Linked DNA regions of Rattus norvegicus. The protein of the gene in region 3 interacts with the protein of the main gene of each other region in a pairwise test. Links are inferred from orthologs where the notes say so. Each region holds a gene or a part of one and is shown on either strand. Other genes may lie near its edges.

Region 1 (3,500 bases), on a different chromosome or scaffold from region 3:
CTTTAGTTGAAGACTCTTAAGTTGCTTGGATTAGCCTTGAATTCACTCTGTAGCCTAGATGGGCCTTGAACTTATGCTTTTTCTGTGTCAGCCCCTCTGATATTCTGGTCTTCTAAGCACCGTGACACAACTACGAATCAACTTCCATCTTCTTTGCTTTTTTTTTTTTTTTTGATAGAAATCGTTTAAAGATATTTATATTATATTATACACGTGTGTGTGTGTGTGTGTGTGTGTGTGTGTGTAAATGGGTCATGTCTATAGGGATGCCTACAGAGGCAGAAGGGGGTGTCAGATCAGCTGAAGTTACAGGCAGCCACCTACCATGGGTGCTAGGAAGTGAACTTGAATCCTCTGGAGGAGCAGTGAGTGCACTTAACCATGAGCCAGTCTCCAAATTTCTCTAGCCCCCAAGTAACTTTTGAGATACAATCAAACACGAGGAGAGCCCAGCAGCAGAACTATCACCTGTTTTTCCTCAGGAGGCAGTTTACTCCACTCGTTGCCCAACATCCTTGTGATTTCTGGAAATGGGACCTCTGGTCGTTTTGCTCGAAGCTGTTCTCTACGCTCATTCATGAATCGAACATATCCTGTAAGGGGGGACTTGGGTGCATTGCTGTCCCGAAGAGGTTTCTTCCTTTTTCTCCCTTTGGACCAGCCTCCTCGTTTACTTCTTTGCTATAAAACAAAACAAAATGAAAAACCAAAACCCAAACAGTAATCACTCAAGTAATCGATCAGCAATAGGAACAAATAGGAACATCTAAAGAGGACACGAGCTGCACTTTCCTGTGGGGCCTGGATAGCCAAAGCTCTCCAGACCAGTCAAATACCATGATGACGCATTAAATACAAATTTCAGATATTTCAACTACAGACCCTTTAAGGCAGTGGTTCTCAATCTGTGGGTCAGGACTCCTGAGGGGGTGTCAGATAACCCTTTCACAGGGGTTGCATATCAGATACCTGCATATCAGATATTTACAATATGATTCATGACAATAGCACAACTATAGTTATGGAGTAGCAATGAAAATAAGTTTATGGTTGGGAGTCATTACAGCATGAGGAATTGTATTAAGGGGTCAGACAGCATTGGGAAGGTTGAAAACCAGTGCTTTAAGACATCATACTACAAATTTGAGAAATAAAAGGCTATTAAAATTTTATTTTTGGAAACAGGGTCTCTCTAGGTAGCACAAGCTGGGTTCAAACTCATTATGTATCCCAGGGTACACTCAAAATCACGGTGATCCTACTGCCTCAGCTGCTTGAGTGCTGCGGTTTCAGGCATGCACTGCCACCCTTGTTGTCTAAAGGGTTATTTTGGTACTAATCCCAAAAGACGAGAAGGGGGCACCATGACTGTGCACGCTTTGGCCTTCCTCTACACTTCCTGACAGGGATGTTCTACATGACACATTCAGCTGCACTCCTCCCCAAACCAGAGAAGGAGGCACTGTCACAGGAAGTCAGGATAAGACGCTGCCATGTGCAGCGAGCGAGTGAAGGAAAAGCGGCAGCATGGGGATTAAAAATAATTAATGAAAGCCTTCCTCACTGATACTGAAGATCAGTTAATCCCATAGCAAACAGCAGACAGATATTTAAATTAATATTTAGTCTCAGGAAATTATCAGCAATATATATAAAATAAAGACAAGTTCTTTAGCTTGATGATTGTTCATTAAGATACAAATTTTATAAAGTCATAGCCTTTTTTTTGTTCTTTCATTTTGAGATAGAAGTTTTTACATACTGGGTTTCGATAAAGCAGATCAAATCAACTTTTAATATGCTTTTAAAAACTGCAGTGTCAGCTGGGCATGGTGGCACATGCCTTTAGTCCTCCGCAGAGGCAGTCGGAACTGAGTTTGAGGTCAGACTTGTCAGCAGGGTGAGTTCTAGGGCAGCTGAGCTACAGAGAGTAACCCTGTCTGGAAAACCCAAACCAAACCAAACCAAACCAAACCAAACCAAACCAAACCAAACCAAACCAAACCAAACCAAACCAAACCAAACCAAACCAAACTTCACTGAACCAAAACAAAACCCCCTGTGGTGTCGCTGATATGTGACACCAGTCTTTCTTCTTGCCTTCTAAATGAGACACATCATACTCTGTTCCATAATTTAACACATGCAAAGTCTATCAGTCTATGCACCATGAATACAGGAATTCTTATTTCAGGGAGGAGAAAGGTGAACAAGATCCGAAGGGGACAAGCGCATCTATGTATTAAGTGTAGTACTGTACTGTACTCCTCCAAATCTATGTGAATGGTGACAGTTCTGCATTTGGTAAATTGTATATTAGAGATTAGGTTTCCAGCTTTTTTGTTTTGTTTTGTTTTACTTTTTGGAAGCCTAGGAACATGAAGCTACTAAGGAGCCTAGTACGTGGCCCAGTGAAAATGTGCTTAGCATAAATCCCGAGCATTATACACCCACACAAACACCACCCCACACCATAGCAAACACGTAACAAGTTGAGGAAAAGCTACCAGCATTCATTATTATCTTTAGAAACACCAGCGGGGTATATGAACAAACCAGTTTTTTCATATACGAGAGAAGACAAACATGGATGATGCTGTTCTTGTCTGTCTTAAAACAGAAGAGTGGAATGTGGCCAGTCATCTGTAATAAAGTCATCTGTAAGTGAAGGCCATGACTGCCCATCCCCATACTGAATGTCTGTGTGCTTTGGGGAAGGATGGGCCCTACGGGAGGGAGGAGGACTCATTAAGTGATCTGGCACATATGTCTTTGTCTTGTAGGGCTTGTGAACAGCGTATAGCCCTGAACAAGGGCATGAAGACTTCTTAATAGTTACTTAATTAAACCATTCACTCACAAAACAAGTATTTGTCAAGACTGAGACCGGCAAGCACATCTGCAATTCTAGCAGATGTCACCTGAGTCACCTGAGACCCTATATCAAAACAGCAATAACAACAATAAAAACAAACCAACAACAACACAACAAACAGCTTCCGAGCATGCTGAACATTACAGGAAATAGCTATGTTTAGTCAGATTGAGGATAGACAGATTCTATTTGTCTCTACGTCATTAAAACCATTGATAAGACTCTAGATATGACAAGAGATATGTATGAGAAAGCTGGGCAAGTCTCAGCCCAGGAAACTAAGGCACGAGGTGGCAGTCACGTCACTGAATAAGTCCTTGGATGCCAGTTGCTTTGGAAGCTCCAGTGGACAGTGACAGGAGATGCTAGCTTACCTCATCTTCAGGCCTCTGCTCACTGCCTTCTGCAGCATTGGAAGACTCACTCTGAAGCAGCTGGCCTTGGGAGAGATCCTCCACAAATTCTGGGTTGTTGGTTGTTGATGTGGCTGCACTGCCATATGGACCCTCGGGGTGTGTTAACCTGAGTAGTAGGCAGAAGTACGTAAGGTCAGCATGGACAGCAGGAAACCTTCTCTTATTATGCTGCCGTAAGTTTTCCTGCTAGATAAAACACAAGCCAGTAC
Region 2 (3,979 bases), on a different chromosome or scaffold from region 3:
GAACAATCTGCCTAACGCTTTCCAGTGCTGTCTCTCTAGTAGTTGGGTCTCTACTGCACAGACCCTCCCACCTCACTTCATTCTCTCCTTCGGCCATGACTGACAATCGTGAGCTTTTTCTTTTTCAGTCTTTTTGAGAGAGAGATTGGTTAAGAATAAAGTCAGAAAAATCCAGCGGTCACGAAAGCAGGCGTCTGGATGGCACTGGGAATCACACGTGCTTTTTTAAAGTTGATGCTTTCAAATCGATCCACAAGGCGGTTCACCCAGGCACCCTCTCCCACACGAAAGGGCAGTCTTCTGACAGAGATGGAAAAGAACCAACTTGGAAAGTTGCAATCTCACAGAGCTGGTTAGCTGGACAGGGAGTCTCGGGGAAGTGCTCTCGGTGTCGCAGGGTCAGCGGATATCCTCGCGTTGTGGAGCTGTCAAATCCGTGCTTGGTCCCAAAAGGCTGGTAACAGTAGAAGGTTCTCCAGCCATTCGATTTTTTTATTTTTTGTCTGTGCAGCGGCCAGTTTTCTAGTGTTCCCACCCCGCCCTCCTCCGACACCAGTCTCCGCCCCTGTCGGCTCCTCCTAGCGCCTCGGCAGGGCAGCGGGCGGGCTGCTGGCGGGGGTAGGCGGTAGACCCTGGCCCTTAGCTGCTGGGGCCTGAGGCTCCGGTGCTCCGGGGACTCCAGTGCCCACCAGTCACTGTGTCAGCGGCGACAGAGGGCAGCGTCGCCGACCCTGCCGGTTCCTGTCTTCCGGGGTACGCCGTGCTTCTCTTACCCCTCTGTCCTCGCCCACCTCCGCCAAGCCAGAGGGCACCCAGCGACCCAGCAGTCATCGAGCCCCGGGCTGCGCTGCTGAAGCACAGGGCCCCAGGCACAGAGCCCGCCCCTTCGCCCAGCCCCGTCGGTGGGGCTCGGCCCAGAAGGCGGGAGCAGGGAGGGGAGACGGGGTCCTCACACCCAGCCCCTCCCCTGTCCCCGCCCGGGACCGCCGGGAGCCGCCCCTGCCCCATGCCTGCCTCTCCGCCCAGGCACACGCGACCCGCAAAGGCAGCCATTGGAAGCAGCCCCGCCCTCGGGCAGAGTACCTCCGGACCCCGAGTCCAACGCGCGCCGCCGGCTAAGGCCGGCTGCTGCGCATGCGCGACGCCGGCCAAGGCGCATGCGCTCTCCGCGGCGTTGTCCGTTCTCGACGTTTGGAGGCGCTGGCTTGAAGAAGGGTAAAGGAAATTAAGGAGTACGGATGCCCCGAGATGTTTATCGCACAAGAAAAAACGAACAAATAAAGGTGCTTTGTAGTATTCCTAGTATAAGTGGGATATAATTAAAGATTAGCCTAAAAATTAGTGACAGCCAAGCCCCAGATTCAGTAGGCAGGGCGTCTTTGCGTTGGCTTTCGGGAAATGTAGTTGTAATGCTACCGACGCGCTCTGTTTGCGACAGAAAATACAACTCCCAGATGCCACCGCGACACTCGTCTTTGCCCGCGAACCAACGGTTCTGGAGGCCGTGGTTAACTGGGAGCGTCTGTCTGGTAAGCGTGGTAGACTTGGCTGTGAGCCGCTCATTGGAAATGGTTTTCCCCTGAAATTTTGGTGCTGAAGCCATCTGGGATTGCTTTCTTTCATTCCAGAGCCTTTCCCCAATGGCTTGCCGGGAGAGAAATAGTGCAGGCGCTAAACTTGGTGGGTGACTGGAGCAAGGATTTGGGGATAATTGTTTGGAAGGTCGAGGAGCAGCCTTAAGACAGGCAAGCTGGGGAAAACAAACGACGCCGCTGCTTCCGCAATCCTCTTGCACGGGATCTGTAAGATTCGAGAACACCCCTCTGAGCCCTACGTTCCGGATGTCACACTCGTTTGAATCTTACGGAGCCAGTTCTGGATGGATTAGGAATCCCTACTAAGCATTGCAATTGCACCTTTGTTCTTACAGGGGTGTGTTTTGCGCTGTGTTTTTGCTAAGTCAAATAGAATCCGAAGGGATCTTTGAAAGCAAGTCCGTTTTGTGTGAGACCGAGAAGAACTCCCAAATGTCCCTAGGTTCGAAGTTTTACAAGCTTTGAAAGGTTCTGTATGAAAAGAAGCCCATAAAAACCTCCCAAATGTGTTGTCTTTGAGTGATGTGGACATTTCTCAGAAGGTGTTGTGAAGTGTTTATACTTGAGAAAACTCAGATTTGGAAGGTTTGTCTAGTAAGACTGGTAATCGGATTAGATTTTAATCCTTTGTTTTACAGAGTAAACGTAGTCATAAAATATTGATCAGGGACTGGAGAGATGGGGTGGTTGTTTAAGAAGGCTTGTTCCTGGGGCTGGGGATTTAGCTCAGTGGTAGAGCGCTTGCCTAGGAAGCGCAAGGCCCTGGGTTCGGTCCCCAGCTCCGAAAAAAAAGAACCAAAAAAAAAAAAAAAAAAAAAAAGGCTTTGCTAACCTAGGACTAATCCTAGAAACTTCTAGCTTCTGTAGAAGCCTAGAATGTTTTCAGCTTCTGAGACTTACTGCTGAATAAGCTCACCCTTCCTGGCTCTCTCTGAACTCTGGCTGGCTGGTTCAGCGCCCAGCTGTTCTGACTCAAACTGGCATCTCTTGCTTCTGACTGAATTACTCTGCTTGGCTTCAAACTCACTCACTCTAGCGAACTGTTCTAACCTTCTGCTCCTGCTCATTCAGTCTTTCCCTGTGTCTAACTTGTTCTCTCTTCAACCTGCCTCTGTAAAACTCCCAGTAAAGCTCCCTTCCTTCCTCTCCCTCTGCTCTGCTCCCTCTTATGTTGCCTCTCTCCTTTCTCTTTTCCTGAGAGCTGGGCATATCCTATTCTATCAAATCTTTTTCTGATTCGTCACTTTGTCTGCCTCTCAGTTTGAAAGTAGACATCACATGGCTGCTTCCTTCTACAAACTAACTTTACCTTCATTGTTTGGGATAAAAGGTGTGTGCTAAGGGCATGTCAGTGTTCTAATCTGAGTAGCCATGTTGCTGGATTAAAATCCCACCACAGGCGAGTGGAAAAGACATAACCCCTCATCGTATTAGAAAATTAATGTATAAAATAAGTTGTGATACTATTTGATATTGTTGGCTGTGGGAACATTTAGCCCAATCTTAGAAAGTCAGGGAAGTTTTCATCCCAAGGAAAATGAAGGCCAAATGAATAGCACAAGGCTTCAGCCAACAAGTGCCTGCTGACTGCCTTCTGCTCAGTAGGGCGTCACTGAGCTTGTAGTCTAGGAGAGCAAATAAGAGTGCATGGCAAAGGAAACAATGAAGCAAATTGGAAAGGAATGAAAAGTGCTTGACTGGCGAGAAAAGGTTCCCCTTTCAGTCTGAGGAGGATCCTTGATGGCTTGTATGTGCTGGCTGCCCACATCAGCCACCTCAGCCACCTCGGGACAGCTGTTAGAAGATGAGCTAGCAGGGTGGAGTTGCCTTTATCCAAAGGCCTGCAATACTGAGAAGATGGTTTAGCCTCCAATCTGGTGTGTGTGCGCGGGTGGGGTACAGAGGACTCTGCTATTGTGGAGGATGATGCAGACAGTGAGCAGAGAGTCCGTGCTGGGAGGGGGAGTGGTGTGGAGTTTTCTCTGCCTTGTTCTGGGTGGGCTTAATTCTCCAGAGCGTCACAGGGGACCAAGGGCCCATGGTTTTTGTTTGGGGACATGGGCTGTTTTGTTTGTAGGCCCCTCCAGTTACCTTTCTCTGAGTTAATTTATGTGCTTTGCATTCTCTGACGCTACATCAAATCATCTCATGAATCATCAAAACCAAGGGCTTTTGGGAGTTCTGAAGGTCATCCAATTTAATCATCCCGGTGGGACTAAAGATTCCAGAGGGACACGAGGTCTGGGCAGAGGAGACAGGGGAAGACTGGACAGAGAGGGACCTACTTGAAAATACGGCTTTTTTTTTTTTTTTTGGTTCTTTTTTTCGGAGCTGGGGACCGAACCCAGGGCCTTGTGCTTCCTAGGCAAGCGCTCTACCACTGA
Region 3 (3,134 bases):
GCACCTTTCATTGGTTGGCCCTGGGGAATGGGGAAGACAATATACAGCAGATTATACTATTACCCTGTTGTGTTTCTGGGACCTCCAACCTCAGTAGCTCTCTTGGTGACTAATATTAATTTATTAGTGTCTCGTTTCTAAGACTTTTGTGTATTGTGAACACTAAGTATCCTCTCCTCATTCTGTACTAACACTGATTGCTTGGAGTTCAGTGACAAAGTTTTCCATTTTTCTCTCTTAGCAGTAATTCACTGCCATAGCGGATGAGTTTTTGTGGAGTCTTGTTTGATTAATTGTTGACCCTGACCCTATGTTTTATGTTTTCACAATGCTCTTTTTTCCTGCTAACGTCATTCACATCTTCAGGTGAACACCTTTGAGTTCAGCCAATCTCACAGAAGGACCCAGCCTCTAGGGCTGTCTTGTCAATCTCACAGAAGGACCCAGCCTCTAGGGCTGTCTTGTCAATCTCACAGAAGGACCCAGCCTCTAGGGGCTGTCTTGTCAATCTCACAGAAGGACCCAGCTTCTAGGGCTGTCTTGTCAATCTCACAGAAGGACCCAGCCTCTAGGGCTGTCTTGTCAATCTCACAGAAGGACCCAGCCTCTAGGGCTGTCTTGTCAAGTTCTCTTTACTCAGTGGTTTGGCTCTTAAGGAATGATCAGAACAGACAACATTGATATCCTCCTACTCTTTCTGCTTGTTGTCTGCAAGGACTTCAAGGAAATCTTGTCAGATACCTTGCATAGTCTGTCAGGTTCGTGACACATCCAGATGCTTGTGATTTCCTGGAGCCCAGAAGCTCTTTGGGACACCCAAATAGCCCGGCATTGTCTATGTGCCCATGGACGTGGGCTGCCTGTGGAGCCTTTAACTGTGGCTACACCTACACCAACAGCAAATGGCTGTCCCTTCCCTGCATCCTTCAGCCATCGGTGGCTGCTCAGCCACTAGCAGCTGACATCTGGGCTTTTCTTTTTTAGGTTTTGGGACAGGAGCCAATGTAGCCCAGACAGGCTCCAAACTGGCCATGCAGCAAAGTTCTGGGATTACATGTGTGCTACCAGAGCTAGAGTAAATGCCTTTTCTAGATATCCGTTTGTCATGAGAGGGCCTGGCGTGTAGACCAGGCAGCAGCACTCATGTGTGCTCCTGCTTCCTAATTTCTATTGTGGATTGTTTTACGTCCACTTCTAACATTAATTTTTTCATTTTATATATTTTTTGTTCTTAGCAACTTTTCCTATAAAATTGGGAGATTATATGCTCTTTGTAATTAGCTTAAATTTTTCTTTGAGAACAGTTATTCTTTAATCGAATACGTTAGCTTTAATGAACTCCACTCCATTTTTTTCCTCAAGACATCTTCCCCTTACGCTGTAACTTTTGATTCAAAATCCAGATTCTTTAAGCAACACAGTAAAGCGAATAGTAAAGATAGGAACTATTTCTCTCATTTTTGTGTTCAAGAATTCTTGTTTCCTGAATGTTTTCTTATGGCGTGTTTTCCTACCCATGAGGCATCAGGGTTTCCCAGCAGCCAGAGCATTTAGAAGCCTGATGGCACTCAGTGCATGCGGCAGGCTGTCAGGCCATGGCCCCGTGACTGAAGGTGGAGAGCTGGGGTGAGGAGTGCATTCATTGGCTCATGACACTGCTGTTCAGGACCAACAGCAGGTTCCCCTGGATTTCCTCAAAGTGACATCACCTGGCACACAATCTCTGGCCACCAGTGATCTCTACTTCATTCTGCAATGCATTTTGTTGCCTCCTCTCATGCCCACACTCCTTAACTTAGCTCTCACTTCTCCATAAAGTCAGTGAGCTACACCTACCCTCTCTAAAGGCCCAGGTTACCCCACCTCTTCTCACACACCTACATGAAGAGTCCCTGAAGGTGGGCCTGGAATCTTGCTTATGCAAATAGGAACCAATATTCTCATCCCATGGAGACAAATCAAGCACAAATACAGGGATAACCTAAGTAATCATACAGTATCCTGCCACAAAACTAGTGTGCTGGAATGAAACCACAGAGTCTCCATGATCTCCCTGGAGGTGAGAGAGGCTAAGCCATAAGAATGTTCCTGAGGGGGTTGGGGATTTAGCTCAGTGGTAGAGCGCTTGCCTAGCAAGCGCAAGGCCCTGGGTTCGGTCCCCAGCTCCGAAAAAAAGAAAAGAAAAAAAAAAAAAAAAAAAAGAATGTTCCTGAGGCATGCCCTCTAGTAGGCCGTGTTTTCTGGCTTAAGGACGGGTTCAGGAAGAAGGCGTGGAACTCACTGTTGTTTTTTGGTCCCCACAGAACATGTTTGGGATGTGGAAGCCTATGGTATTCTTGGCTATTGCAGCAGTAGCTCTGTATGTGTTACCCAATATGCGACCGCAGGAACCAGAATTCTACATGAATTGATGGCAGACCTGGACCAGCCCAGAGGGCAGATCCCCAGAGGCTACCACCCTCACCTTTGGGCAGAGTACACTGTGCCAGAACCCCCCACCCCATCAGTGTTTCTCCATCTCCTTTGCCTCAGTATTCAAGACTGAAAAGGCTTATGGGAGTTGCTGGCTCTCAATCTCCTGCCTTGTGTAAGAACCTGGGTTCCTTGTAATTAAATGTCAGCCTGATTACATGAGACGTTGTGTGACTTTTTCTTCAATAAATGTTTCACATAACATTGAACAGAGCAATTACCCTTCAACCAAGTATATCCCATAAGAGTCTGTTTTAAATATGATTTTTCAGAAATGAGGTTGGTTCCCTCTGCTGTCGGTTCTCTGTGAGTCTGCTGCCAGCTGAATCACAGAGATTGATCTGACCCTATTCAATCCTATCTCAAGAAACTCTTTTTTTTTTTTTTTTTTTTTGGTTCTTTTTTCCGGAGCTGGGGACCGAACCCAGGGCCTTGCGCTTCCTAGGCAAGCGCTCTACCACTGAGCTAAATCCCCAACCCCTCAAGAAACTCTTATAAACACAAAGAAATACAGCAAACTGGGTACTCTGTGTATGGGGCTAGAGGCAATGGGCAAACAAAAGACCTTCCTGGCTTACCCTCTCAACTTAGGAGATTCATTTTTGGAGACATTTTAATTAGTCAAGAGCCTGGCAGCAAACAAGACAGTCAATACTTGGACT
Region 4 (4,073 bases), on a different chromosome or scaffold from region 3:
TCGATGTCTGCAAATTTAGAATACTGTCGGTCGAAACTTTCCTATTCTCTGTACTGAAGGACACTGATGTCCTTCATACCCATTATTTACTATTTCATGATCCTAAAACCATCAGCTTACAGGGCTTCAGTCTGTAGACAGGTCTTGTTTTTGAGTTGGCTTACACCAAATCCCGTCACAGAACTAGCTGTCATTCCGACGGCTATGGATCCCTCCCCACCTCTAGCTTTTCAGAACCAACCAGTACCCATCAGTTCCTGCAAGAGGCAAGCTCAGCCAAACCAGAGGAGGCAGGGAAGGTGAGGTGATGGAGACCTCGCAGGGGCGAGCAAGGAAGGGCTGGTAGCAACTGCGTCAGAAACAGGTTCAGTGGAAGGCGAGCCGCATAATGTGGAAACTACTGGAACCTTATGGTGGGGACAGGGGCGCTACTTCTAAGTAGTGTTACGTTGCAGGTGGCTGAGACTTCACTGAAAGACCATCCGAAGCGGCCAAAAACCTAAGATCGATCAGGAGGCTGGTGGGGTTGAGCTGGGAGGGTGTGGTCCCTGTGGGTTCTCCCCCTCCAAGCCTGCGGCTAAGCTAGCTGCAGAACCCCAAGACAAGCTACCCCATCACTCACTGGTCCGAGTGACAGGCATTTCCTATGTCTAGCGTCTTACTGGTCAGTCGAGAAACAGGAGGGCGGGACAAATAAGTATTCTCCCTCTGATTGGTCAACTCGTGAAATTCTTGTCAATTAGAGATGAACTGCGTTCTCCGCCATGTTGAATAGCACGCTGCATAGCCTGTCCTTTTCTTGGGCTGGTCACCCAACGCCCGTTCTTTCCTGTTCCTCTGTGCTCTAATATGTTGATCCAGTTAATAAAAACGCGCTTTCTGCGTATACCGCGAGAAGTCCTCGTTCAGATAGAACGAAATAAAGCTAGAAACCAGAGAAAAGCTCAGTCCCTAGCTGCGGATCTGGGTGTCATTCAAGAGAATCAGTAATAGTCCCGGTGCTGATGAGATTCCATTGAGCAAACTCTCTTGAAGACTGCGTTTTACTTTAGCTTACTGTGGTAGTCATTAGTGTAGATTCGGATAGTTATGCTTCTAGAATGCCCCGTTAAACCGCAGGATTGTATCAGAAACCATCATTAGACGTTAGCTGGACTCGGGGCTCGCATTTGTGACAGTGAGAAAGGACGTTGCCTGCGTTACGGTCCTTCGCCACCTCCTGTAGCGTCCCTAGTAACCGTGCCCCTAGTAACCGCTCTCCCCAGCCAGGATCTGCGAGCGAGGCGGCGGCGCCAGCTCACCCGCCCCGGGCCGGCGCGGGCGCTCGGGCTCGGAGGCGGGGCGGTGGCTTCGCCGCACTAGGCTATCAGACTGGCTGCTGCCAACCTCCACCTGCCCGCAAATCCCATCACAGGAGCAAGGGCCTCCCAGTACGAACGCGAAGACCCCTTATAGTTCTTGGTAGCAGCGGCGTTGGCGGCGGCCGTGGAAGAGAAACAGAAGAAAAGGATGTGGCAGATACGGGCGTCGGTAATGTGGGAGCCCGGCGGGGTCTGGGGGCTGTCCGGGTCCTCACCAGCAGGGACGGGTGGAAATGCGGTGTCCTCTGCAGACCCTTCCTGCTCTCTGCTCCAACTAAAGACTAATGCAAAACTTTCTTGGAGAGCATTTTTATAGCTATTTCTAGAGTGTGCACAGAACAGAATTCTACTTATTTATTCTCCAGCATATCTTGAGAATAAATATTCTTCAGTTTTTTAAATTTTTTTCTATTTTTAATTTTTGTTTTTTCCCTTGAGGAAAACTGATGTGCCTATCTATAGTTTTCATAAAACCTCAGATGATAAGTTGGACTGACAAGTGTATTTTATCGGTTTTGGTTAGTAGTGGATTTTAGCAGTCCTTTAGGAAAGCCTGTTTGAAGTTCAGTGGACAGATGCTCCATAGATATAGAGAAACATCCAGATAAATCCCCGAAATCCCAAAGTTTACTAAAGGGGCCATACGGGTGCAGTGAGGTCTTCTCGCAAAACATTTTCAGTATTATGTCCTGGATGCATTTCTAGCAGGAGGGCACAGTCTTCCTCTATCCTCTCTACTTCTTTTCCATATACATATGGATTATGGTTTATTTATTTTATACATATGAGTACACTGTCGCAGTCTTCAGACACACCAGAGGAGGGCATCAGATCCCATTACAGATAGTTGTGAGCCACCATGTGGTTGCTGGGAATTGAACTCAGGAACTTGGAAGGGCAACCAGGGCTCTATCCGTTCTATTCATTTCATTTGTTTGTTTTTAGATTTATGTGTATGAATGTGCGCAGTGTGAGTTCCTGGGAGTTCCTGACGGTTGTGATGGGGGCTGGGAATCAAGCCTAGGTGCTCTGCAAGAGCAGCAAGTGCTCTTAAGCCATTGCAGCATCCTTTTTAGTTTGTCTCTTGAGACATAGCCATGGCTGTCCTGGAACTCAAACTCACAGAGCTCTGCCTGCCTCTGCCTCCTGAGTGCTTGGTTTAAAGGTGCATAGTAAAATGCCCAACTTTTATTCACTTAAAAAGTCTAGCACTCTGCTGGTGTAAAGCACCAGGAAGGAGCATGTCTGTGTGTGTGTGTGTGTGTGTGTGCACGTGCACATGTGTGTATGTGTCCCCACCCCAACCCCTGCCACTTGGTTTCTTAGCAGTGCTGGGGGTGGGATGAAGGGTTTGTGCTTTAGGCAAGTGCTGTACTAACAGCTACAAACTTGGTTTTTGTTTTATTTTAGACAGGGTCTCCTTTGGTTCAGGATTGCCTCAAATTTGCTGTTAAAATCCTGACCCTCCTGCCTCCATCTTCCCAATACTGGGATTCAGGCACCGTGGCTGGCCTGTATCAGCTCTTTCAAGGTTATGTAAAGTAGACAGAGGCCCAAACCACCAGAATCCTAGGACTGGTTTATACCTGATAAGGCTGCCATTCAACACAATCTATCAAAGGTTACAGAAGGCAGAATGCTGGAATGGAGGGAAGGAGTTGGATTCTGGATCAGAAGCCATTGTCTGCTACTCGCTGGGTGATTATAGGACATGACTTCTGTTTCTCTGTCTGTAAAAGGACTATAATCGCCCCCATCTTCTGTTAATAAGAACCAGAGGAGAGAATGGGTGTCATTTCTAGAGAGTTTACATAAATTCGTAATTATAACTGCCAGCTTGAACAATTCACTTGGAAACTGACATATACTCTGGCAGAAAGGTCTGTCCTTTGTATAGTTGTGCTTAGGTTCCAAAGTGCCCTGCTCACTGAAGATTTGTGTTATAAGTGGAGTTTGGGTTTCCAACACCCACATACACACCTGGTGTGTTGGCTTTTGTGTATAATCCCAGTGCTTCGGGAGGAGGAAACAGGCAGATTCCTGGAATTTGCCGAAAGCCCCATCTCAAAAGATAAGATGGACTAGGGAACTCACCCGAGATCGGATGTTCCTGCAACTGATGCTCACCCCTGCACAGGCTGGGAAACTCCTTCTGCTCTCCTTTCCCCAGCCCCGCCCACCTGGGAGAAAACTCAGGCTAACACATCATCACTCCTCTCCGAATTCCAGACAACCTGCCCAAGAGTGCCTCCCCGGGGGCTCAGATTCTGACCACACGTGCACACCAACCATCCCAGCTCCTAGCTAGCAGATCTTCACTCCTCACAAAGCTCTGTAAAACCCCCTTGCTTTAGCCTGGATGTGACGTCACCGACCTCCACCTGTGAGATCGATGAACCCACCCAAGAGCTGCCCCCTAATAAACCTGCCTTTATCCACTTCTAATCCGGTCTAATCCAGCCTGTATCTGTGTCACCGAGGGGAGAAAAAGTCTGTCATTGACCTCTGGTGCACACACACACACACACAGGCACATACACACAGGCACACAGAGACAGAGAGAACCTCAACATTTAATAGAGACATCAAAAGAGATTAAGGATTAGCCACCATAGTAGGAGGCCTGGAACAAGGCCCAGAGGGTCCCACATTCACTGAGAGAAGCAGTGAGGTGAGAAGTCAAGTGCTTCACATCAGTTCCCTAAAAATGAA
Region 5 (4,132 bases), on a different chromosome or scaffold from region 3:
AGTTCCAAGTCAGGCAGCACTAGAAAGCAAGACCTTATCAAACATAGCAAACTCCAAACAAGTAAATAATTGAAATCACAATTGTGTTTGTTTTTGAATGATCTAAGCATCGAAAATCCTAATGAACAAAGACAAAATCTAACTTTCTAAAGCATTAGCCCATGTAGGAGCACGTGGTACTTTGCAGAAAGTGGGGCAGGGCTGAGTGGGAGTTTACCAATCCGCCTAAAGCCAAACCTCCTTGCTACAATCCCCTCCTGAGGATCCAAGCTGGTGATGTCAGAAGGCGGGGCATACTTGGTCTCAAAGCCTGTGATGGCGGAGAATGGTTAAGATGGGTTTTAGTTGGATCTGAGGTAGAAGCCAGCATAGTCAAAGACTAACAGCCAGGGCTACACGGAGAAACCCTGACTGGGCTGGGTGGAATGGAATGGGGCACTGGGGAGAAGATTAAGAAAAGGATGGGTGGTGTCAGGCTTCCAGGTTTGAATCCGCAATAAGCACACAGTATTGATGGATGGAGCCATAGATTATTTACCCTTTACCTGGGCATGGTGGCCCGTGCCATTAGTCCCAGTCTTGGAGAGACAAAGACAGGCAGAACTCTTGAATTCAAGGCCAATTTGATACACCTAGAGAATTCGGGGCCTGCCAAAGCCACACATGAGACATTGTCTCTAACAAACAATAGTACATACTTTTTTCTTTTAATTAGCCTTTTCCGTACTGCCCTATATTTCCCAGATCTCTGAGTATAATGTTCTTTCTCTGAGTAATTATGAGGACCAAGCTATTACATACGAGGGAAGAACACATTGTTTGGATTATTATAAACCTTCTACTGGAATGGAGAGGGGAGGGATACTAGGCACATAACAAATTAGTGGTTTGGGCGTGAGATAAATATCTCCTAATTCACAGTTTACCCTTCTTTCTCTCTTCCACTCGCAAGTCCTCAGAGATCCTAAAATAGTCATACATGTTCATAAGGGAGTGTATGAAAAAAAATCCAGACTGCCAAAGTTTAAGGGCCAATCATAGTTTCTGTACTAGGAAGGAGGCTGACACGAATCTCTAGACCGAATGACATAATTTCGGACCCTCAGGGTATTTGGCTCCTAAGCTTTTCGGTTGCATCTCGGGAGTTGTGACCTGCCGCAAGGCATGAAGGGACTCGTAGTTTTTCCCACTCCCGCCTCCAAAGCCGCCTTGGCCTCTTTTCCCAGCAAGCTCCGCGCCAGCGTTTGCTGTTGATTGGCTGCCGCAGGAGAGGGTGGTCCAGCTGGCAGCAGTTACCCAGGTTTCCGGTGCTCGGCCAGAGTCGGGGACGCGGTCGGACGTCCGCGGTGAAGTATGTCTTTGGGCTGTACACGGGACGAGCTCTTCAGAGGGTCCATGACCCAGGACGCGTTAGCCGCGGAGGAACAACTAATTCTGTGGACGGGGTGGGGAGAGTTGTGTGCTGCCGTGCTGCGCATGCGTACTTCGGGTCTAGAGGGCGCGTGGGGTGTGGGTGTCTTCTGTGTACGCGCGCGCGCGCGCGGGAATCCCACGTGGGACCTGGTGGGGCGGGGGGCCGGTCGGGACTGGAGCATCCCGCCACGTCAGTCTGCGGCTCTGAGCCAATCCCGCGCTCCCGCTGCCGAGAGGGAGCCGTGTGGTGCTGAGAAGTGGCATTCAGGAGAAGGGAGGCCTCTTCCTTCCTTCACTCTGTGCTGGTGCAGCTTCTCGGAAACCTTGCCCGGGACCGTGAAGTCTCAGGCGAAGGCCGACCAGTTTGTTTGAAGCTTAGAGCTTCAGATTTGGAGATTTCTCATCTAGGTTGTGAAGAATTTTGAAGTCTAGAAAATAGCAGCGGTGTCCGTAAAGGATCTACCCCTTTTCTGGCCTTGCAGATCACAATGAAGAACCAAGACAAAAAGAATGGGCCTGCCAAACACTCCAACCCGAAGAACAGCCCTGGGCAACGGGAAGCAGGACCGGAGGGAGCTCATGGACGGCCCAGACAGACAGCTCCTGGTGCGGAAGCTGAAGGTTCCACAAGCCAGGCTCCTGGGAAGACCGAGGGTGTGTGCCAGCTCTGCTTTTCCAGTGGGCAGAGGGAGGAGTTTCTGGTACTTGCATCTATCTGAGGCCAGTATTTACCCAGGAAGGAGGAACTATAGAATGAAACAATGCCCATTCTGTGATCCTCATGTTTCCTAGGGAGGTGATGAAGCTTTCCACTCTTAGCCCTGGAACGGAACCTTGGGGGCATGCTCTGACTGGTTTAAACCAAATGACAATCAAATGAGGCGCCCCATAAGCAAAGTCATATTCCCACTTGCCAGTGCCCGGTGATTAATTGTCCTTCATAAGACAGAGCGTCTGCTACACGTCAGTCGTCCCTCTTGTAGGGGTGCTTTACACAGTTGTCTTTGATGGTCATAACAAGTATGTTTGGGTGTTAGAAATAATTGTTTCGTCTTATAAAAACGTTTTATACGACTTAGGGTTTAAAAAAATTAAATTGAGGCCAGGCATAGTGGCCCTCACCTTTGTTCTCAGAACCCAGAAGTCAGAGGCAGGTAGATCTGAGTTTGAGGTCATCCTCATCCTCATAGTGAGTTCCCAGACAGCCAAGGCCCTGTAGAGAGAGCCTGTCTCAACTGAATAAATAAATGGAACGTTTAACCCACACAAGTGGTGTTTGTCTGGGCTTAAAGAAGAAGAAAACCCAAGGGAGCGGTGTAACCACCTAACGTTCACTGTCTTCATCTTGTAGGCGCTCGAGCTAAAGCATCTCAGTCTGGGGCCCTCTGTGATGTCTCTGAGGAGCTGAGCCGACAGTTGGAAGACATTCTGAGTACATACTGTGTGGACAACAATCAGGGAGGCCCAGGTGAGGAGGGAGCTCAGGGGGAGCCCACTGAGCCTGAAGACACAGAGAAGTCCCGAACCTATGCAGCCAGGAATGGGGAGCCTGAACCGGGCATTCCAGTCGTCAATGGCGAGAAAGAGACCTCTAAGGGGGAGCCTGGCACAGAAGAGATCCGAGCAAGTGACGAGGTTGGAGACCGAGACCTTCGAAGGCCACAGGAAAAGAAGAAAGCCAAGGGTCTAGGTGAGGGGGAGCTCCTGCTGACGGGAGGGAGTGAACACTTGCCATCTCATGGGCTAGCCTGCTCTGTCTGGACACAAGAGAATCTGCTTTTCAAGACAGTACATCCCCCCAGTTTAGTCAAAGATGGGGTCATCCCATTGAGCTGTTCAGATCACTCACTTGTGCAAGGCCTCCTGGCCTTGGGAGCCAAGTGGAGGCAGGAATCCAACTAGCTTTCTCACTGGGAATATGGAAAACCGGAGGGAGGCCTAAGTGCTCGACAACACCACTTTCAACCTGCTGTTTGACTTTGGGCATGTTTATTCTCCACTCCTAGAGAGGGTCTTAGTTTCCCTGTTTGTACAGCAATAGAATTGGGCTACACCAAGGTTGAAATATCAACATGGACCAGGTAAGCCACAGACCTCTTCAGAATCAAGAAAGGGCCTTCTTGATCTGAAAACCTGACTCCTACCTGGTTAGTCCCCCAGTCGCATCTGACCAGCTGAATAATTGGTAACCAAAATAATAGAAAGTAAGCAGAGGCCTCCATTGGTTGGATTTGCCATCTCCGTGTTACCTTTTGGGCCTCCCAGGGCTGACAGCTCAGAACCTGGTCTGTGCTGAGTACAGTGGAACCCAAGGGAGACAGCTGTAAGGCTTCCCGGCTGAGGTAAAGCAAGGCAGTGGCAACCTGGCACCATGGCGTACACCTTTAACCTCAGTACCTGAGAAGCAGGAGCAAGTGCATCTCCTGAGTACCAGACCAGCCAGCTGCATAATGAAACCTTATCACAAACAAAGGACAGGAGTGATGGGACAATGTGAAAATACGAACTTAGAACCTAATGCAAACCAAATATGGTAGTGTATGCCTCTAATGGGGAACTAGGAGGAACAGAAGCAGGAAGATGCTGAGTTCAAAGCCAGCTTGGGCTACATAGCAATACCCTCTCTTTGTGTGTGTGTGTGTGTGTGTGTGTGTGTGCGCGTGTGTGCGCGTGCGCGTGTGTGCGTGTGTGCGCGTGTGTGCGCGTGCGTGCGCGTGCG
Region 6 (3,500 bases), on a different chromosome or scaffold from region 3:
TCTAAAGGCTCGGCCCCCCACCTCCAGAAAGGGTGTCGGATCTCCCAGTAGGTTAATTGCTAGAGTGATTTCCTTGTGATATTGTGGGGTTTTTATTGTTTTGTTCTTTAAGAATTCAGTAGAGAAGGTAGTAAAACCTCTGGCTAGTTAATGTTTTAACTAGCTTGTTGTGTGTAAGTAAATGTTTTTACTGGGTGCCTGGAAGGCATAGGAAGAGCCACCATTCAAAGGCATAAGCCCCATTTACTCACCTACTTTACACTTGGCCCCTGGCAGCTGCTGTGTTGAATGCACACATTTTTTTCCCCTTTTAGTTCTCTTTAAAAAGAGCAGGTGACTGATGGTATCCTTAAAAAGTAAAGGAAGCAGGCCTGAGAGATATTCTCAGCAGAAAAGACAAGATTCTTAGCTTGTAGCCAAATTCCAAATGTGGGATTTGTTATTTTCTTTATTTACTGTTTTTTAAGAAGCTTGGGGTGGGGGCAGCACAGACTCTTAAATAAATCATACTTGATTGTGTCTAGAGATTGTTGTAAGCAACAAGATCATGTGCTCCAAAACCTTCTCTGAGTTCTTCTGTCAGTTTGTTGTAAACTCCTGAAACATAAAGTCATCAGAAAGTATAATCAGAGAGTAGACTGCAGACAGCGGTGCTTTCTCTCTTACTTTAGGAAAGCCCATGATTGTGATTGGTTTGTTTGTAGGTGAAGAAGACTACTCCCCTGAGGCCGGGGTACACTGGGAACCCTTCCTACCATGCTGCATGCACGCCATGGTTATTAGACAACCTGTCCACCGAGAGAAGAGACATTCTTCTATAAGGTAAGATGACCCAGGATCATCAGCCTCCTAGGCTATTTTGAGGAAAATCCTGTTTAACTTTTATTTTTCTTCTTGAAATCTGTTAATGAGTTGGTTGGGGCTATAGCTTAGTAATAGAGTGCATTTAGCAGGCTTCAGGCTCTGAGTTCAGTCCCTAGTCTAATAGAATAGACTTGCACAGAAAAGAATGGGCAAAATAGTGATTTAAAGAATAAACTAATGTAGCAGGCACTGAAAGAAAAACCTAGGTTTCTTTTGATGTTGTTTCAGTCTTTTTCCTATAGAGGAGACCTCTCTAGGTGCCAAGATAATTTTCTATTAAACACACCTGTGGGGCCTGGGAAAGGCTTAGTGGGTAAAGTGCTTTAGCACAGGCATGAAGATTGAGTTTAGATCCCCATCTACTCAGGGAAAAGTCAGGAATGAAAACTTCCATGGGATTCCATGGGATATACACTTGTCACCCCAGCACCAGAGTGCAGTGACAAGGAGGATCATAACGGCTTATCTAGCCTGTCTAGCAGAAATGGTAAAGCCGAGGTTCAGTGAGGGACTCTCTCTAAAAGAGTAAGGGAGAGCTATAGAGGAGGGCGCCTTAGTGTATCTCCACACTTACACTATCCACAGAACTCACTCTGAGCCAACATGGCGACATGTACCTGTGACTCAACACTTGGTAGCTAGAGATGGGAGGATCAAGAGCTCAAGGCCAACCTAGGCTACATAGGAAGTTGGGAGGCCAGGCAGAGCTAAATAAGACTGACTCAAAAAGAATAGTAAAATAAATCAGAGCTTCAGAAGCGTTCTGCTAAAGATGATGGTCTGAGTGGACAGGAAGGGGTTCCATTAATGTGTGCTGGTAAGTTTTGTTATAGTCTCTTATAGCACTGAAACTAACATGAAACCCATTCTGAAAGGTATTTTTTTTATGTTAAATTTCTAAGCCAAGAGACTGAATTTCAAGGAAGTAATTAAGTGAAGAATCAAAAGGAAACTTGCTTATTAAGAGAACAAATTATCAAGAAATTTCTCATTTTCCAATTTTCTCTGAGGAAACAGCTATTTGAGGTAATAGCTTGATATTTTTAAATTATATCACTGGGCGATATCGCTGAGACTATAGTGATGTCATTATTATATGTAAAAGCACATCAGATGTTTGTGTTCCCAGCCTGTTTTGGCTCCACCAAGCTAGGCTTACTTTTCTTGTGTTCTCTAGTTCATGATGAGAAATTTTGTAAGAAAAAGTATTAGTTGCAAAATTATCCTTGGATGTCTAACCTACATATGAGAACAGAATATCTTCAAAGGACTTTATCACTTTTTTTTTCTTTCAAGCAAATTTACTTATAGAAATGGAGGTTACCAACCAGGAGATTCGTCTAATTGCTTCTGACAAAGCAGCCCATTTGGAATGTCTTCCTAAGATCTTGTCAGTCTGGCTTTCTCTGTCTATCTCAAATGCTTCAAAGTATGCAGACAGGCTTGTACCCCCACATGAGAAGTAGCCATGTTACTTTGGGCTTCCCTGTGTGCATGGACAAGCTTCTTGTCTGCTGGGTTTGAGGACACACTTCTCCATGACCTGCAGAAGATGTGGGGTCCTTAGCATTAGTGTTCATTGACGTAATTTCATCATGTGGTCAATCCACAGGTTGCTTAGCATGCTATTTTGAGTATTTATGAAATAAAACTTCTGGTACTGAAATTAGAAAAAAATGTTTTAAAAGAATATGACAGGGAAGAGAAGACAAACATCGTGATCAGGTAGCCGAGGTAGGAAAACTGAGAAACACACGCACATGTGTGAATATAATCTATTTTATCCAGTTCCTTCGCTCAGCTGCTACCCCCCAGGCTTTATTACCTTGTATTAAAAATAAGATGCTGATGTGGATTGGGTCAGAGACTTGGCCTAGAGACAGCCCCTCCTTTTCAGTTCCTCCTCCAGGCTTTAATGGGCTGTTTTTTGCTATTCCATATTTATTGACTCAGACTGTGATAAAATCCTTGAGTAGTTTGTAACTTCCGTCGGGGTGGTGCATCGTGTAAGTCAGACTTCCTAAGACTGGTCCTACTGCAGCCATCTTAGCGTCCTGAGACCACCGTCCACTTTACCAGGAGAGAGCTGTCGTGACCAATGGAGTTTCAAGTTTTCAAAAAGACTGCAGAAAAGATTTTTCTGTTAAGTGGGTGTTTTCTGCCCCGCTTTCTCTTTCAATTAATTTATAGCCTTAATGCAGCTATGGGAAATTTAGGTCTAAGCAGATGCCTGCTAGCCAGTCTTGTTGAGCTGCTCTCCATGTCTATACTGATTTAGGGAGCGAATAGTTGTGTGGTGGTCAGTGAGCACAGTGTGAAGAGAGACAGATTCTAAATTGCATGTGCTCTCCCTTCCCGAAAGGCTGCCTCCCGTGACCTAATGTCTGGTTGGTGAAAAGCAGACTCTGCTAGGATGTTACACCACCACTGCCGGAGGAACCCTGAGCTCCAGGAAGAATTGCAGATTCAGGCTGCAGTGGCGGCCGGGGATGTTCACACAGTACGAAAGATGTTGGAACAAGGCTATTCCCCAAATGGCCGAGATGCCAATGGCTGGACCTTGCTCCATTTCTCTGCAGCAAGAGGAAAGGAGAGGTGTGTTCGAGTGTTTCTGGAACACGGAGGTGAGTTCACTG
Region 7 (3,975 bases), on a different chromosome or scaffold from region 3:
GCATTAGTTCAGTACTCAAACACAGGGTTCCCTCTCTCAGAATTTGTTTAGTTGGGTTTAGCTTAGAGCAAGGGCCCAGCGCCCAGGAGAGGGCAGAATAGGAGTTGGTATGAAACTAGAGAGCTGTGTACACATATGGAAAAGCTTTGTTACCTACAGGAAATTCCATGCCTTTTCCTTATGGTAAAGATGTCATAACTGATTGAAATGGTCAGCCCAAGCCATTTGTATATGCCATTTGCACTCTGCCCTCCTGGCTACTGTGGGTACAAAAACTCAGACACTGACTTTTGGTACCAGCACACCTGCCACCATCTATAGCACAGAAGAGGAGCAGAGTCTCTTTCTCCCTTTCCTGGGCATGGTTATGGTCTTCCTGAGGTACTGCCTCGGTACCTGATTGCCTCAGTACCCTCCCCTGTTCTCAGTGTATAATGTGAATTGGATGACCCTGACTGAAGCCTGTCATTGTCACTTCACAGGTTGGGAGACTGAGACATAGAGCAACGTGCAGAACTTGGGGTTTGTATTGTTAGGCTGACTTCAGAACCTGAATAGGTTTTTGTTGTTGTTTCGTTTTTCTTTAGAGACAGGGTTCCCCTGTGCAGCTCTGGCTGTCTTGGAACTAGCTCTGTAGACCAGGCTGGCCTTGAACTCACAGGGATCCGCCTGACTTTCTGCCTAGAGTGCTGGGATTTAAAAGGCATGAGGCTCTATTGCCTGGCTAAAGCCTGAATTCTTGCGGAGAAACCGTTTCAGAGTTCCGGGCCATCTGCGCAGAGGCAAGAACGCCCCAAACTCGGCTTGGTACCAAGTGAGGTGAGTGAGTCGTCCCACTCCCCACGCGCGTCTCTGAAGTGGAGTAGATCAGTGGAGGCGACCGGAGTGGATCAGTGAAGGCGGATGGGCCGCCAGGGCGAGCGGCTCCGATGGGTTGAGGTAAAGACCGGAGCGCAGCAGGGTAGTTCTCCCCGCTCCTCTAGTTCCACCCTCTCCCTGGCATTCGGTTGGCACGTGGGGCCGAGTTCCCGCGGAGGAAGCTACGGAACTACCTTTTCCAGGGGCCCGCAGGCCGCGGGCCGCGCAGTCGTCTGGGAGTTGTGGTCCCGGGGGCGGAGACTCTTTTTTTTTTTTTTTTTTTAATTGTATTGCACGCGGCCGCCAGGCGGAGGTTTGGACCGCGGATCTAGGCGGCGGCGGCCGAGGTCCGGCCGGGCGGCGCAACCGGCGCAATCCGCCGCCACCGAGGTAGTGATGGGCAAGGAGGAGGAGATTGCTCGTATCGCCCGGAGGCTGGACAAAATGGTGACCAGGAAGAACGCGGTGAGGGGCGCGGGCCGCCAGGACCCTGGGGCCCCGCTCCGTGGACACCGTCTGAATGAAACCTAGCCCAGGCAGTCGAGACCCCTTGCCCAGGCCCGCCCTCCACCCTGCCGCTTCGCTATGGACGCCACGCTGACCGAGAGCCGCCCTCTGTTCGTCGCCCGGCGGTGGCCGCGGGCGTTCTTGGCCCAGCCGTTGTCTCCCCTGTCTGCCCCCACCCTTCAGAACCAGGTTTCTCTAATAAATTTTTCCCCTGCTTAGTCAGGCCTCAGGCAACAGCAAGTCGGTTTGGGCAGACAGTAGAGATTCCGAGTCGAGCCTGTGGCGTTGAGACCTGAGGAGATGATGGCCCCTCGCCTGGTCCCTAGCCAGTGTGGGTTCGGCAGTCCAACCTCCGACCCGCGTAGTTTTGGGAGCATCCTTAGGGGATGATGGCACCTGCATCTTGCCTTCCGTGGGTGGGAAGGGACGAGGAGGTGGCCTTAAAACCGAGTATGACTCCAGAGCATCCGCGGCACCGCTCCTAGGGCAGCCCAGATAGTGGCTGAGTCATGAGTCTTTTCCTCAGGACTGCTTGAAGTAGAGGGCTGCGGGATAGCTTTGGGGGATGAGCAGGTTTGCTCTGAGGGTTGCAGGGTGGGGGTCTAAAGCAGGAAGCAGGTTAAGTTCCCATATATGCCTTTACACTGGAAACAGAAGCCGCCTGGTACTGCTGGTGCTTCTTTCCGGTAAGGGCGTTAAAACACAAATGACAAACTTGGAACCGAGGGTGGCAGAGATGGGGTTGGGATCCATAGGGAGACACAATAAGGATGGAAGGCCACAGATAGGACTAAACAGTTGAGAAGGGAACCTGCAGAGGTCCCAGTAACCTGAGAGGTTCCTTGGAACAGCTGGTGGTTTGTTTGGGCTTTTCTTGTGGGAATGCAGGGCTGTTGTGGATCAGTGCCCCTGGCTCTAAGGATCAGGTCTTCTTAGGAAAGTCAGCCACTTGAGGGCTGATTGCTGTACAGCCCGCCTTAGGGCCAAGATACAAGGCTGCAGGCTGAGCAGGTAATTCTCACAGATTGAAGGGTTAGCCCAGCCCCTACCACTGCCTCTAGTAAGGATGGTTTGAATGGCTGGGTGGGCTCTCCTTGCTTTTTTTTTTTTTTGTGGCTTGTAAGACAAATGAGCTCATAGTGGCAACTTGGAGGACAGCAAACACAATAGTGTTGGGTGTTAGAAGAGTCTGTCTCAGTTGTAGGAGTAAAAACTTGAAGTGGTAGAAGAGCAGCTTTAAACAGAGTTGGAGGGTTTAAGGTAGGACAAGAAGAGCCTGCCTACCCTTGAGGTTTGAAGAATGGAGCTTGGGCAGAGGAAGAAAATCAGGGTTGTCTGTTACAAACCTAGGAGGAAGGTGGTGGTTAGTTTGAGAAAGAGATAAGAAGTGGGACTATGGGATTTGTAGGTGTTAGCTTTTAAAAGAAAACTAGCATCCTTTCCTTTGTATATTTTAATTTAATTAATTTTACATTTGTTAGCGTGGTGTGTGTGTAAATATGAGGACGACCCCTGGAAGCTGGTTATCTCCTTCCACTATTTGGGAGCTGGAGATTGAACTTAGGTTGTACAACTTGTTGGCAAGCGCCTTTATCTGCTGAGCCATCTCACCTGCCCTCTTTTTTGATACTGGGTATTGAACCCAGGGCCTTAACTTGCCAAGTAAGTGCTTTACCACAGCTGTGTCTAGATGGCCCTCTCTTTACTTTGTTTTAAGACAAGGTCTCATTAGGATTCCCATGCTAATCTTGAGTTCACTCTGAGACTCAGATAAGCTTTGAACTTTTGATCCTCTTGCCCCAGCCTCCTAAGTATCTAAGATGATAAGGCCTGTGTCACCAGGTTTGGTAGTTTTCAATTAGCAATAATTGTGCCTCTGATAAACCTCATTGGCTATGGTGCTGTAACTTTGCAAATCTGGCTAGAGCAGAGATTCCTGAGAGTTTAGGTAGAGAGTTTTAGGTAGGGACAGGAAGAACCTGCCCACTCTGGAGGTGCAGCCTATCTGCAGATGCTGAAGAAAAGCCAGGGCAGAGGTTTGTCTGTTACAGTGCCCGGGAATAGTGCCACACTGATGGCTAGGCACTTTGAGGAGAGCCTGCTCTGCCACCATGGCATAGGTGGACTAAGGTTAAGGAACCTGAGTGTCCTTCCATGTCGAGCAGGAACTGGGGCTTTTCTTTTTCTCTAGTAGCTTGTTCAGTGTCCTCCTGTGGTTACCATGATGTCTGGAGATCAGCATAGATGCAGGGTGAGAAACCACCTGATGTTTGAGGACAGCATGGTCGGGCTGTTTGTCTCTATCCTTGCCCTATGGCAAGATCAGTAAAAAGCCCCTGCTGTGATGTTGGAACAAGTATGCAATGCTCTGGGAATCTCAGTTGTCCCACATGTGATCAGAACGAGGTGGGGTTGTCCACTAAGCCTCCCAACTAGTGTTCTCTGTGTAGTCCTGACCATCCTGGAACTCACTCTGTAGGCTAGGCTGGCCTTGAACTCAGAGATTCACCAGCCTCTGCGTCCTGAATGCTGGGATTAAAGACATGTACCACCATTACCCAGCATCCACTAAGGTTTAAAGTCCTTTATGGATGTCCATTTTCCTTCTAG

The links.
Region 1: the proteins of Ccdc136 (region 3) and Hmg20a interact in binary tests that used the Homo sapiens proteins (3 or more experiments, as listed by UniProt). The two-hybrid records come from large-scale screens. The link is inferred for Rattus norvegicus from reciprocal best matches to the Homo sapiens genes CCDC136 and HMG20A.
Region 2: the proteins of Ccdc136 (region 3) and Cep57l1 interact in binary tests that used the Homo sapiens proteins (3 or more experiments, as listed by UniProt). The two-hybrid records come from large-scale screens. The link is inferred for Rattus norvegicus from reciprocal best matches to the Homo sapiens genes CCDC136 and CEP57L1.
Region 4: the proteins of Ccdc136 (region 3) and Fam161a interact in binary tests that used the Homo sapiens proteins (3 or more experiments, as listed by UniProt). The two-hybrid records come from large-scale screens. The link is inferred for Rattus norvegicus from reciprocal best matches to the Homo sapiens genes CCDC136 and FAM161A.
Region 5: the proteins of Ccdc136 (region 3) and Txlna interact in binary tests that used the Homo sapiens proteins (3 or more experiments, as listed by UniProt). The two-hybrid records come from large-scale screens. The link is inferred for Rattus norvegicus from reciprocal best matches to the Homo sapiens genes CCDC136 and TXLNA.
Region 6: the proteins of Ccdc136 (region 3) and Asb7 interact in binary tests that used the Homo sapiens proteins (3 or more experiments, as listed by UniProt). The two-hybrid records come from large-scale screens. The link is inferred for Rattus norvegicus from reciprocal best matches to the Homo sapiens genes CCDC136 and ASB7.
Region 7: the proteins of Ccdc136 (region 3) and Tcea2 interact in binary tests that used the Homo sapiens proteins (3 or more experiments, as listed by UniProt). The two-hybrid records come from large-scale screens. The link is inferred for Rattus norvegicus from reciprocal best matches to the Homo sapiens genes CCDC136 and TCEA2.

The regions. Positions count from the first base shown.
Region 1 is NC_086026.1:65,767,688-65,771,187, reverse strand, and holds part of Hmg20a (high mobility group protein 20A), read right to left. Parts: intron 3,398-3,500; coding exon 3,250-3,397; intron 682-3,249; coding exon 469-681; intron 1-468. UniProt on the Homo sapiens protein: Plays a role in neuronal differentiation as chromatin-associated protein. Acts as inhibitor of HMG20B. Overcomes the repressive effects of the neuronal silencer REST and induces the activation of neuronal-specific genes.
Region 2 is NC_086038.1:46,874,048-46,878,026, reverse strand, and holds the start of Cep57l1 (centrosomal protein CEP57L1), read left to right. Parts: upstream 1-1,179; 5' UTR 1,180-1,238; coding exon 1,239-1,283; exon of another isoform or gene 1,284-1,409; coding exon of another isoform or gene 1,410-1,529; intron 1,530-3,979. Other genes in the region: Sesn1 (sestrin-1), read right to left, coding at 1-97. UniProt on the Homo sapiens protein: Centrosomal protein which may be required for microtubule attachment to centrosomes.
Region 3 is NC_086022.1:58,990,329-58,993,462, forward strand, and holds the end of Ccdc136 (coiled-coil domain-containing protein 136), read left to right. Parts: exon of another isoform or gene 1-1,255; intron 1,256-2,303; coding exon 2,304-2,411; 3' UTR 2,412-2,634; downstream 2,635-3,134. UniProt on the Homo sapiens protein: May play a role in acrosome formation in spermatogenesis and in fertilization.
Region 4 is NC_086032.1:101,209,421-101,213,493, forward strand, and holds the start of Fam161a (protein FAM161A), read left to right. Parts: upstream 1-1,273; 5' UTR 1,274-1,509; coding exon 1,510-1,530; intron 1,531-3,916; exon of another isoform or gene 3,917-4,073. UniProt on the Homo sapiens protein: Involved in ciliogenesis.
Region 5 is NC_086023.1:147,266,474-147,270,605, reverse strand, and holds the start of Txlna (alpha-taxilin), read left to right. Parts: upstream 1-1,332; 5' UTR 1,333-1,445; intron 1,446-1,895; 5' UTR 1,896-1,901; coding exon 1,902-2,067; intron 2,068-2,764; coding exon 2,765-3,103; intron 3,104-4,132. UniProt on the Homo sapiens protein: May be involved in intracellular vesicle traffic and potentially in calcium-dependent exocytosis in neuroendocrine cells.
Region 6 is NC_086019.1:129,667,506-129,671,005, reverse strand, and holds part of Asb7 (ankyrin repeat and SOCS box protein 7), read left to right. Parts: intron 1-704; 5' UTR 705-822; intron 823-1,766; exon of another isoform or gene 1,767-1,890; intron 1,891-3,226; 5' UTR 3,227-3,277; coding exon 3,278-3,488; intron 3,489-3,500. UniProt on the Homo sapiens protein: Probable substrate-recognition component of a SCF-like ECS (Elongin-Cullin-SOCS-box protein) E3 ubiquitin-protein ligase complex which mediates the ubiquitination and subsequent proteasomal degradation of target proteins.
Region 7 is NC_086021.1:189,172,651-189,176,625, forward strand, and holds the start of Tcea2 (transcription elongation factor A protein 2), read left to right. Parts: upstream 1-1,175; 5' UTR 1,176-1,254; coding exon 1,255-1,323; exon of another isoform or gene 1,324-1,443; coding exon of another isoform or gene 1,444-1,554; intron 1,555-3,975. UniProt on the Homo sapiens protein: Necessary for efficient RNA polymerase II transcription elongation past template-encoded arresting sites.